Canis lupus familiaris: one gene and its partners. The protein of the gene in region 1 interacts with the protein of each later gene in a pairwise test. Links are inferred from orthologs where the notes say so. Each region holds a gene or a part of one and is shown on either strand. Other genes may lie near its edges. The genes, in order: MYOZ1, FLNC and TRIM63.

Region 1 (2,813 bases):
ACATCATGGCTCTGACCAGCATCACCATCAGGGCTCTGGGTCTGGATCTGGGGGTACAGGTGGTCCTGGGGGCCAGACTGGCAAAGGAGGAGCTGCTGGAACAGCAGGGGTTGGCGAGACAGGAACAGGCAAGTATCCTTACCCAAGAGTAATGTGTCTGGTCCCTAGAGCAGAGATATTCCCAGGAATGAGGCCTGGGCTGGGTTTAGGGAACAAGGGAGGCCTGTGGAGATACCTAGATGGATTCTCTGGGCCCAGGAGAAAACTGAGTTGTGTCTGTTTCACCCGGAAGCCTTATCTTTCAGTCGCCTTTCTGGCTTTTCAGTTTCAGTCACAGATCCGACCCCAGGCTGTCATTTTCCCACAAAACTAGCACAGTTACCAGGATGTTATATCTTTGGTCTCAGGCCTCAACAACTTCCCTAGTGGAGGACTGTAAGACTAACTTCCACTGGCTACTAACCATTATTATTGACTTAATTTTCTCTCCTGTGGCTGCCAGGAGACCAGACGGGTGGAGAAGGAAAACATATCACTGTGTTCAAGACCTATATTTCCCCATGGGAGAGAGCCATGGGGGTGGACTCTCAGCAGAAAGTGGAGCTTGGCATCGACTTACTGGCCTATGGGGCCAAACCTGAACTTCCCCAATATAAGTCCTTTAACAGGTAGGGGTTATGAAGGAGGAACCAGATGCATTCCAGTATGTGGCATAGTGTCCTCAGCTGGGATGGAGACTTTAGTTCTTATATTCCAGAAGGAAGCTGAGGAGGGAGGGAAGGAACATGGGAGCCCTAACTGGAGGTCTTTGCTTTTTTCACTTGAGTCCAGAGGAACAGTGCAGTCTGATGAAGGAAATGTTTGCTGGGAGGCAAGATTTTAGTTCACTCTGCCACTTACTAGTTGTTCTGAGCAAGGGAAAGTCACCCTACTTCTGAGCCTTGGTTGCCTTGCTGTAAAATGGGAATAATATAGGGGCACCTGGGTGGTTCAGTAGGTTAAAGGTCTGCCCTCTGCTCAGGTCATGGTCCCGGGGTCCTGGGATAGAGCTCCATGTTGGGTTCCCTGTGCTAGTGGGGAGTCTGCTTTTCCCTCTCCCTCTGCACTTCCCCACTGTTTGTGCTTTCACTCTGTCTCTCTCAAGTGAATAAATAAGAAATCTTAAAAAAGAGCGGGGGGGAATAGTGTATTAGATATTTAAAGTACACTGGAGGTTCCTTTCTTTCAAGGTTAGGATTCCGTTATTGTTCTTGTAGGATTCCATTACTGTTCAATTTTTTTATACTCTAGTAAAGCTTAAGTATCTATTCTTTTGGAATTTGGCTTCTCTAGACTGTGGATAGGAGATCTATGTGAAAGCAGAATAAGGAAAAAAAAAAAAAGCAGAATAAGGAAACACTAGAGAAGCATTTTGCATTTGATCCTAAGAATCCTGAATTTTCCAGGCAATGCTAATTCTTCTCACTAGGCCATGGCTATCCACTGGAAGTGGGGTAGGAGTTGTGTGTGTGTGGGGGGGGGGAGGGTATCTTTACATTGTAATTTAAGGTGGTCTCAGACGACCCTTGGTTCTATAGTGTCTGAGTCACAACCCTCCATGAAGCTCTCTATCCAGTACCCACTACACCTCTTTTCTCATTATTAGCTCTGGGGAAACAAGCAAACCAGGAATGGAGTACTAAAGGAGAAGAAGAATAAGGAGTGCAGAAGCAATCTTTTTTTCTTTTTTTTTTAAGATTTTATTTATCCGTTAGAGAGAGAGAGAGAGAGAGAGAGAGCATGAGCTGGGGGAGGGGTAGAGGGAGAGGCATAGGGAGAAGCAGACTCCCCACTTAGTATAGAGCCAAACACTGAGTTCAATCCCAGGACCCTGAGATCATGACCTGAGCCGGAGTCAGCCACATAGCGGACTGAGCCACCCAGGCACTGGGCAGAAGCAATCTTAAACTAAAATTCACAAACTTCCCCATTCTCAAAACAGGGTAACATCTTACTGATAAAGCTGTTCCTTTTATCCTGGTTTTTAATTAAATAATGTGTCCCCTTTTCAGGACAGCAATGCCTTATGGTGGATATGAGAAGGCCTCCAAACGCATGACCTTCCAGATGCCCAAGTTTGACCTGGGGCCCCTACTGAGTGAACCCTTGGTCCTCTACAACCAGAGCCTCTCCAACAGGCCTTCTTTCAATCGAACCCCTATTCCTTGGCTGAGCTCTGGGGAACCAGTAGATTACAATGTGGATATTGGCATCCCCTTGGATGGAGAAACAGAGGAGCTGTGAGGTGTTTCCTCCTCTACTTTGTATCAATTTTCTCTTCTCATGTTCAATTTGAAAGGGAATGCTAAGCAGGATGTCCCTACTGTAAATCCAGTATCCTGGTGGGAATGGAGGGAAAAAGGAGGGAAATATCTATCTTTCCAGTCTTCACTCCAAGTCCCCACTCCAAGCATCCTTCCTCACCAGCTCAGAGCTCCCCTTCTACTTGCTCTGTATGGAACCTGTTCTTTTATGGAATTTGCTCTGCCACCGGTAACAGTCAATAAACTTCAAGGAAATGAACTCATTCTTCCTCTGATATTTAAGGGCAGATGAAAATTGAAGCTAACAATGCACAGAGACTAATTAAAGTCAAGTACTAAGCATTCATTATTCAGACTTCAAGACCAAACCTGAGCTCTGGTTGCTTATACACCCACACCCACATCCACACCCACGAGACCATATTCATAGGTATATACAAAGACATAATTATTCAAGAGTAAAGACAATCGTGCACAAACACATGTGTTGGCCCATATGTGGGCAAAGCT
Region 2 (3,648 bases), on another chromosome or scaffold:
CAGTCAAATACCACACTCTTAATAACTAAGCTGTCTCAAAGGCAGGCCCTGGGATGGGGGAATCACTTGGCATTGGGTCCTTGGCTGCACTCACTCCAGGTGCATGGGTCTTCTAGCCTCTGCCCCTGTGATTCCTCCATCTTCCCTGTAAACCCCCATACCCCAGCTCCCTCCAGCTGCCATCTCTTCACCTTGGAGGGGTCAGGGGGCAGGACACCTTCCACAGCAAAGGGGCTGCCAGGCACTGGGTGACCATCGTAGGTGATGTCCACCTTGTAGGGCCCCTCCTCAGGGGGCATGTAGCGCACAGCCTGGGTTTCAGCTCCACCCCCAGGCTCCACCTTGCAAGGTATGGGTCGGCGAGAGGGTGAGGTCATCCGCACATCCAGCTGGCCCTGACCGCCAGCCCCACGTGTGTTCACAGAGAACGCCTGTTCTTGCCCCACAGCCACCTCTGCGGAGAGGGCAAGGGACACAATGAACAGAGACTCCAGCCCATCCCACAATACCGGTCACTTCCCAAGGCAGCTCCTGTCCCACTTACTGCTGTTCAAGCCTTGAACTTTGACTTTGCTGAGGTCCAATGGGGGTGCCACATTCACTACAAAGGGGCTCTTGGGGACAGGGTCCCCACCATAGGTCACTGTCACAGCCATGTTGCCCTGTTGGGTATGAGAAGAGGTCAGAACTAGGTGGGTTAGACATAGCCTGGCAACACACCCTTGGCCAACATGGACTTGAGGCCCAGAGGTGCACAGCCAGAGAGGAGGGGTGGCAGGAAAGGGGCCAACACTCAGAAGTGGCCCTAGGAGACTGGAGAATGGAAATTCAGGACCCTATCAGCCAGGAATGGTGAGGTGGGGTGGGGGGACACACCTGCTGGACAGCTGTGTACTTGACAGTGTAGGAGTAGTCATGGTTGTCAATGATTTCAAAGTCCCGCACAGCTTCGCCCTTGGCAGCCCCAGCAAAGTGCACATCCAACTTGGCCTTGCCGGCTCCCTTGGTCAGTACCGTGAAGTGAGTGGGCTTCCCAACTTCCACACCTGGGGAGCCCAATCAAGATGGCAGGTGAGGGCCTGGGGGACACCCAGCCCCACCTCCAGCCCAGCCCCGCACCTGCCCAGACACCTACCTGTTCTGTTCAGCCCAGGGCCCTCAGCCTTGACCTTGCTGGCATCATGGGATGGGTCCACCTTAATATGGAAGGGACTGGCAGGGATCTCCTGGATGGGAAAAAGACCTGGTGAGGATAGGCAAAGCCAGCTTCTGAAAGAGTCCCCTTTGTTTTTTCTGAAGCATGCTGCCTGCACACAGAAGTGCTCGATCGATGGCTGCAAAACTGTCCCCAAATGACATCATATCAAGCTGCTGGCTTAGACATGGAGGGTATAGGCTACCAGACTGCCACAGGCCAAGGGTGGGGTACCTGGTTGGCAAACAGCACCATGATGGTGTAGCGGCCCGCTCCCGGGGGTGTATACTTGACTGTGAAGGTGTCATTGTCATTCTTGATGATGTCAAAGTCGATGTCAGCTTCTGCAGGGCCCACTACGCCAGGGGCGCACTTGATACCGATACTCACATCACCTGAAGGGAGGCAGGCACAAAACCGTGAGTGGGGTCTCAACAGCCTCACCCACTTAACTAGAACTCTGCCCAGAAACAGGGTGGAGCCAGAGCAGGAGCCCCACCCCAGGCCCCTGCCCCCACCCCAGCCACAGCTGGGCGCACCTTGCCCAGCCTCACTGCAGTCCACGGTGAAGTAGGTAGGCTCGTTGGCCTTGAGGCCTGTCTTCTCCACGCCTGGGCCATACACCTTCACCCGCTCAGGGTGGCTGCCTTCTCCCACATTTACCTGCAGGGAAAGGGGTCAATGCTCAGCACAGTGCTCCTCCCACAAGGCCGCTTTCCTCAGCGCTACCAGGCCAGCCTTAGTGGTACCGATCTTAGCCTCCATGTGGACAGTGAGGTGGGGAGCAGGTGACAAGGGCCCAGGGACAACCAACATCTCCTGTGCAGGGTTCCACCCTCCCCTGGGACCCCAGCGGCAGGAAGCAAGACAGGAGGACATACCCGGAAGGGGCTCTTGGGCACGTTGACACCTCCCCAGGAAATGATGATGGTGTGTTTAATGGGCTTGGTGGGCACATAGGAGCAGCGGAAGGTGCCATCGCCGTTGGGAATGACCATGATGTTGACAGGGCAGCCATCAGCGTCCTGTGGGCATCACCAAGCGAATCTTAGAGTGCTCAGGCCTCCTCAGAGCACTGGCGCCCTCTGCTGGCCTCCATGCCCTCCTCACCCACCGCCTCTGACCTCAGGCCAAGGGAGCTCCGCCCCACGTGCTCTGGTGGTCAGGGCCCGCCCTGGGAGCCTAGAGATCTGGCTCTAGGCCATCTGTGTGGCCTGGCCTCCCAGTTAAGCATCTGAAATGTGTTAGTGGGGGAGAGGTTGCGCTAAGTCACTGTTTCTAAAATTGAATAGTGAACATTTTAAAGAAAAATTATCCTCTTGGACCCAAGAATACATTCATTAACTTCTAGAGGTTAGTGGCTACCAGTTTGAGAAACTGATTTGGGAAGCCAAGTCTATCACTGGCTTGAAAGATAATCAAATAATCTTTCAATTCAAAATTATTAGTACAACAAAATACACTTTTGGTAAAATATGCTCTTATGAATTCATCAGAAAACACAAAATTTTGTTTCCCATAGTTCTCCTGGATCCATAAGAGTCAGTCCTGCCATGCTACAATTTCCTCTGCCTCTCACCTGCCCCCACCTCCCAGGGCTCCTGCCCCAGGTGATGGGGGCAGCAGGACTGGGCAGTAAGTACCCCACCTGGGCATACAGATTCAGGTCTCCCTTGCCAGCGGCACGAGCATCAATGGTGAACTCCGCAGGCTTGTCCACGATGCAGCCTGTGGGCTCCAGGCCGGGCCCAAAGGCCTTCACCTGTGTAGCGGGAGGAGCAGAGAGCTAGGTCAGGGCCTGGAGGAGGGCCCTCTCCCCCAGTTCTGGGCCCTTGTGCAGGCGCTGGGACCCACCTTGTCTGGAAAGCAGTCGGGTGCGGCTGGCTGGATGTGGGCAATGAAGGGGGAGTCTCGGATGTCCTCATCATCACAGATGACATGCACAGCATACTCTCCGGGCTCTGTGGGCCAGTACCTCACATCGCAGGAGCCATCCCCCTTGTCATCACACTCAATCTTGGCCTGCGAGGGCCCCTCAATGGAGAAGCCTGTGTGCAAGGTACAGAAGATCAGAGGGCACAAGAGGCAGCTCGGACACTCAGGCAGGACCCCTATGTCCCACTCCTGATACTACCCAGCATTCCCACCCCGTCCCCAGTCACTTCCCAGGTCCCTCCATCACACCACTCCCCAGCATTCCTAGCTGCTACCACCCAGCCACTTACCCAGTGTCCCCACCTCCGTGCCAATGGCCTCCACCACAAAGTCGGCTGACTTGCCCACCTGGCCAGTTTTCAGGCCAGGACCCCAGGCCCGTACCTTCTGTGTTCCTGCCTCTGGGCTCACCTGTACCTCAAAGGGGCTAGGCAAAGAGGGATCTGGTGTCAACGCCAGGAAGTACCTCTGCTGGGGGTAGCCCTCCTCTCTTCCCTCACAGTTCCAGGCAGCCCAAC
Region 3 (4,236 bases), on another chromosome or scaffold:
AGAAAGGCCCCCGAAGGGTTCAAGCATAAACCTGCTCTTCAGAGGTCGATACTCGAGGTGAGGGGCTAATATTTGGGTGCAATATTAATTTTCTTATTGGAGAATGGTCAGCAATATTTCTGTACTTTTATGGAGTTTTACTCCAGGAACATAGAGGCAATAGCAGTTAGGAATATTCACCATAGAGTCAGTTAGGCTCCCTCTCAGCATCACGGCTTGCTGAGCAGCCTCGGGCACACCTCTGACCTTCTAGGAGCCTCCATTTCCTCATTGGAAAATGAGGGTAAGAAAGTAGTATGGATTACTGTGAGAATTAAATAAAGGTCACGCATGGAAAATGCTTAAGACGAGGTGCCTAGACACAGGAGGTGTCCATACATATCTGATACTTTTAACATTTCCCATCAAAACCCTATTTGATAGTCACACTAACAAACCTTACCATCCTCCTCTGCTGATGGATAAAATGAAGGCCCAAAGATTCAACCAAGTTCCCACAATACATTAGTAACAGAGTCAGACTAGCCGACGGTTCCCCTGGTCAGGGCTTTTTCACACTAAGATTGGTCTGTCACTTATCCTGGGGCAGGACACTGCCAGGCGGGCAACACTGGATGATGGTTTGGGACCCAAGGGCCTGAGGGCAGTGGCCTGGGAGTCTTGTCAGGTGTCAAATTTGTAAAGAGCTCCCTGGTGGCCATATCTCTCTCCAGCTGGACACACACACTGCACAAACTCCACTCTCACAAATTCTGCCCAAGACAGAGCTGCTGTTTTACAAACAGGGAGACTTGGGGCCAGATCGGCAGGGCTGTCCTCGGCTATTTCTCTTCTCAGCTGGGAACACTTGGGCAACTGACTTCACCTCTTCGAGCCTCAGCTTCCTCATCCATGAAATGGGGAGGATGAAAGTCATGCCCAATTCCCAGGATTGTTGTGGGGCAGCGGGAGGAAGCGTCCCCGGTACCCACGATGACAGCCATTGCCTCCACTATAGAGAGACCGGCTGTGTTCTCTCTGGGCACTTTTCTCTGCTTGCCCGGCCACTTTGCTGGCCCCAGTGTCTCCCTCTCCATGTCACAGTTTGTCCCTCCCCTGGTTCCTGTCTCAGCCTGTCCTAGGAGAGCAGCCTAATGTCTGGGCTCTTCTCATTCACTGAGGGACCGACCCCAAGAGCCAGTGTCGGGGGATAGAGATAAGCCTCTGTTGTGCCTGAAGAAGAGGGAGATGGCTCTCTGGACTGGCTAGTGTAGCTCTCCAGCCAGGGCACTGATCCTGGGCACATGGGGAGGAGCCTGGGAGAGCTGGGCACAGACCAGGTGGGGAGGAAGGATGGCTCCCAGGAGCCGGGAGGACTGACCTGGAGCACTCCTGCTTGTAGATATCAATGATGTTCTCCACCAGCAGATTCCGTTGCAGGCCGTACACTCCGTGACGATCCATGATCACCTCGTGGCGGCAGGAAGGGCAGCGGAAACGGCCTCCAGACATGGACACGGAGCCAACCCGGTTGGTCCAGAAGGGGTTCGCGGCCTGCGGATGGAAGGGCAGAGATGAGGCCTGGGACAGTCTCTGTCTTTCTTGCTCACCCCAACCATTCTCGTCAAGCCATTTGACATGGAACTCCCCATCCTGAGATGAGAGCCAGCCCACGTACACGGGGAGCACCTGAGAAAGCAACTAAGCGGTCAGCAAGTTTGGGAGGCAGCAGACCTAGGTTCAAGTCACAGTTATCCTCTGAATGACCTTGGGCAAGCCACTTTCTCCCTCCAAGCCTCTGTTTACTCATTCACGCAATGGACATTATCGTTAGAGCCTGCTCGTAGGGCTGCTAATTCAAAGATAAAATTTGGAGAGAACATTAGTACAAAGTGCTTCTGGAACCTTGAGTCCTGCCTCCCAGCCAGGGCACTTCTCCTATTCCTTTGTTGAGATGGATCCCCTCCAGCCCCACATTATAGGGAACCAGTCTCGGCCTCGAAGGGGAAGATGCCTCTACTGCCCAGTGCCTCCTGGCCACCCTCCTCCTCCCAAAGCTCTGGGCCCGCTGCCACCAGGGAGCTGGCTCCAGCCCCAGGGGTCTGGTTTCTCTCTCCTCTCCACCCGCCTCTCCCACTTATCGCTTGAGGCATTTGACTCCTGTTTGGAGAGTCAACTGTGGGCTCCGGGCAGCAGTGGGGGAGCTGCGGGCAGGGTGGAGACGGGAAGCACACGTCATGGAGAAGGAATGGGGTGGCCAGGGTCACCTCCGAGCCCCCTTCAGCCCAGAGGCCTCTGCAGGGGCTTTGCTCTGCTCGGGAGAAAGCCAGCAGTTTAGAAGTCCTAGACTAAGAGACAATGGCTTTCACCACAGGAATACTGAGCAGCCGCCTGGAGCCCAGGACAAGGCCATGCCCAGCACTGACCTGGAAAATGTCATTGGCACACTTCCGGCAGAGGTTGTGCTGACAAGGCAAGATGACCACCGGCTTGGTAAACATCTCCAGGCAGATAGGACAGATGAGCTGCTTCTCCAGGTTCTCCATGGGGTTCCCATCCTGGATTAGGCTTGATTTATAATCCATATTGTCAGGACGTGTGGAGGTTCACCTGGCTGCCTCCTTTACCTGCCTCACTTTACGTAGACCTGGGGTCTTGCCTTCGTCACAAAATACCCACACAGAGCCTCCTTGCCTTGTTCTCCTGGTGCCCGAATTCTGTCTTGGTCTGAGGCCCCTCTGATATTTATAGCTGGGTCTCGGTCACATGAGCCCCAGAAGGGGACCAGCTGAACATTCCGATGCCAAGTGGCTGGCTGGGTTTGAGTTTCCTCCAGGCCTGAAAGACCGGCCCTCTCAAATCACATGTAGGGATGAGCAATCGCTGTTCTCCTGGGAGGAGGGTCGTAAACAAGAACAGCCTGTTCGTGGGCAGCGTGGGGGGAGGAGAGGGTACCAGAGTTTCCTCCAGAACCTAGTCTCCTATACCAGGCTGGTAAGCCAGGAAGTGGACCCAAGGAGTGGGCCACTGGGATTTGCAGAGTTCATAGCCAGTGATCCCTCACTGTCCTAAATCCCTTCCTCTAGAGTACTGAGTGGCTCCCAAGAAAAGGGGTCAGGGCAGCCCCTCTCTCTGAGCCCATCTCTGAGCATAGCATATTGCTGGAAACTTTGAAACCCTACCCCAGCTAGCCTGTCCCTCCACAGTTTTATAGATTTTGACACTGAGGTCCAGAGAAGGAAAGGATCTTAGTCAAAGTCACTTAGAAAGTCAGTGGCAGGGACTCCTAGGTGGCTCAGTCGGTTGGGTGTCTGCCTTGGGCTTGAGTCGTGATCTCTGGGTCCTGGAATTGAGCCCTGTGTCAGGCTCCCTGCTTGGCAGGGAGTCTGCTTCTCCCTCTGCCCTCACCCCATTCATGCTATCTCTCTCTCTAATAAATAAATAAGATCTTAAAAAAAAAAAAAAAAAAAAAAAAAAGCAGGACCATACTTTTAAAAAAAGAAGAGGGCAGCCCTGATGGCCCAGTGGTTTAGCGCTGCCTTCAGCCCAGAGTGTGATCCTGGAGACCTGGGATGGAGTCCCACGTCGGGCTCCCTGCATGGAGCCTGCTTCTCCCTCTGCCTCTCCCCCCGCCACCCTGTCTGTCATGGATAAATAAATAAAATCTTAAGAAGAAGAAGAAGAAGAAGAAGAAGAAGGAGGAGGAGGAGGAGGAGGAGGAGGAGGAGGAGGAGGAGGAGGAGGAGAAAGTCAGTGGCAAAGCCAGGAATCTTTCATTCATCAGACATTTCTCTGAGTACTAACTATACTTCAGGCACCAGGGTGACAGATAAATGAGTAATCCTTTTCCCTGTCCCAAGAAGCTCACAGCCTATCGAGGGGGAAAACGAAATAGCTATCATTTTGGTACCATGAAGCCCTACCTGGACATCTAGAGATTATCTAGATGTTCCCCTCTACTCTCTGCACAAATTTGTATTTTTCTCTATGTTCTTCTGGACACCTTCTGTATTGGCACGTAGAAGTCACTAGAGTAGTTCTGATGGCTATTTTTAAGGTAGAATCTCATGCAAAAGGATGTAGGGGTTAGCCAATATTGGTGTTGGGGCAAGAGGGGGAGCAGTGACCGCAGGCCTCAAGGATGAGCCTAAGACACCATAGAATGTACAGGAATGTCCAGGGTCTCACAAAAGAAGGGCGGTAGGAAAGTAGTTGGGTCACCTCAGCCTGAAGAAGTGATGATGGTTGGAGTCTTGA

Evidence for each region.
Region 2: the proteins of MYOZ1 (region 1) and FLNC interact in a two-hybrid assay, tested with the Homo sapiens proteins (2 studies listed by BioGRID and IntAct). The link is inferred for Canis lupus familiaris from reciprocal best matches to the Homo sapiens genes MYOZ1 and FLNC.
Region 3: the proteins of MYOZ1 (region 1) and TRIM63 interact in a two-hybrid assay, tested with the Homo sapiens proteins (2 studies listed by BioGRID and IntAct). The link is inferred for Canis lupus familiaris from reciprocal best matches to the Homo sapiens genes MYOZ1 and TRIM63.

The regions. Positions count from the first base shown.
Region 1 is NC_049225.1:24,891,395-24,894,207, reverse strand, and holds the end of MYOZ1 (myozenin-1), read left to right. Parts: coding exon 1-128; intron 129-502; coding exon 503-668; intron 669-2,051; coding exon 2,052-2,283; downstream 2,284-2,813. UniProt on the Homo sapiens protein: Myozenins may serve as intracellular binding proteins involved in linking Z-disk proteins such as alpha-actinin, gamma-filamin, TCAP/telethonin, LDB3/ZASP and localizing calcineurin signaling to the sarcomere.
Region 2 is NC_049235.1:7,664,319-7,667,966, forward strand, and holds part of FLNC (filamin-C), read right to left. Parts: intron 3,558-3,648; coding exon 3,421-3,557; intron 3,244-3,420; coding exon 3,050-3,243; intron 2,958-3,049; coding exon 2,844-2,957; intron 2,221-2,843; coding exon 2,077-2,220; intron 1,859-2,076; coding exon 1,735-1,858; intron 1,591-1,734; coding exon 1,430-1,590; intron 1,227-1,429; coding exon 1,136-1,226; intron 1,047-1,135; coding exon 877-1,046; intron 663-876; coding exon 545-662; intron 455-544; coding exon 192-454; intron 1-191.
Region 3 is NC_049223.1:73,292,960-73,297,195, reverse strand, and holds the start of TRIM63 (E3 ubiquitin-protein ligase TRIM63), read right to left. Parts: upstream 2,822-4,236; 5' UTR 2,565-2,821; coding exon 2,406-2,564; intron 1,534-2,405; coding exon 1,361-1,533; intron 1-1,360. UniProt on the Homo sapiens protein: E3 ubiquitin ligase. Mediates the ubiquitination and subsequent proteasomal degradation of CKM, GMEB1 and HIBADH.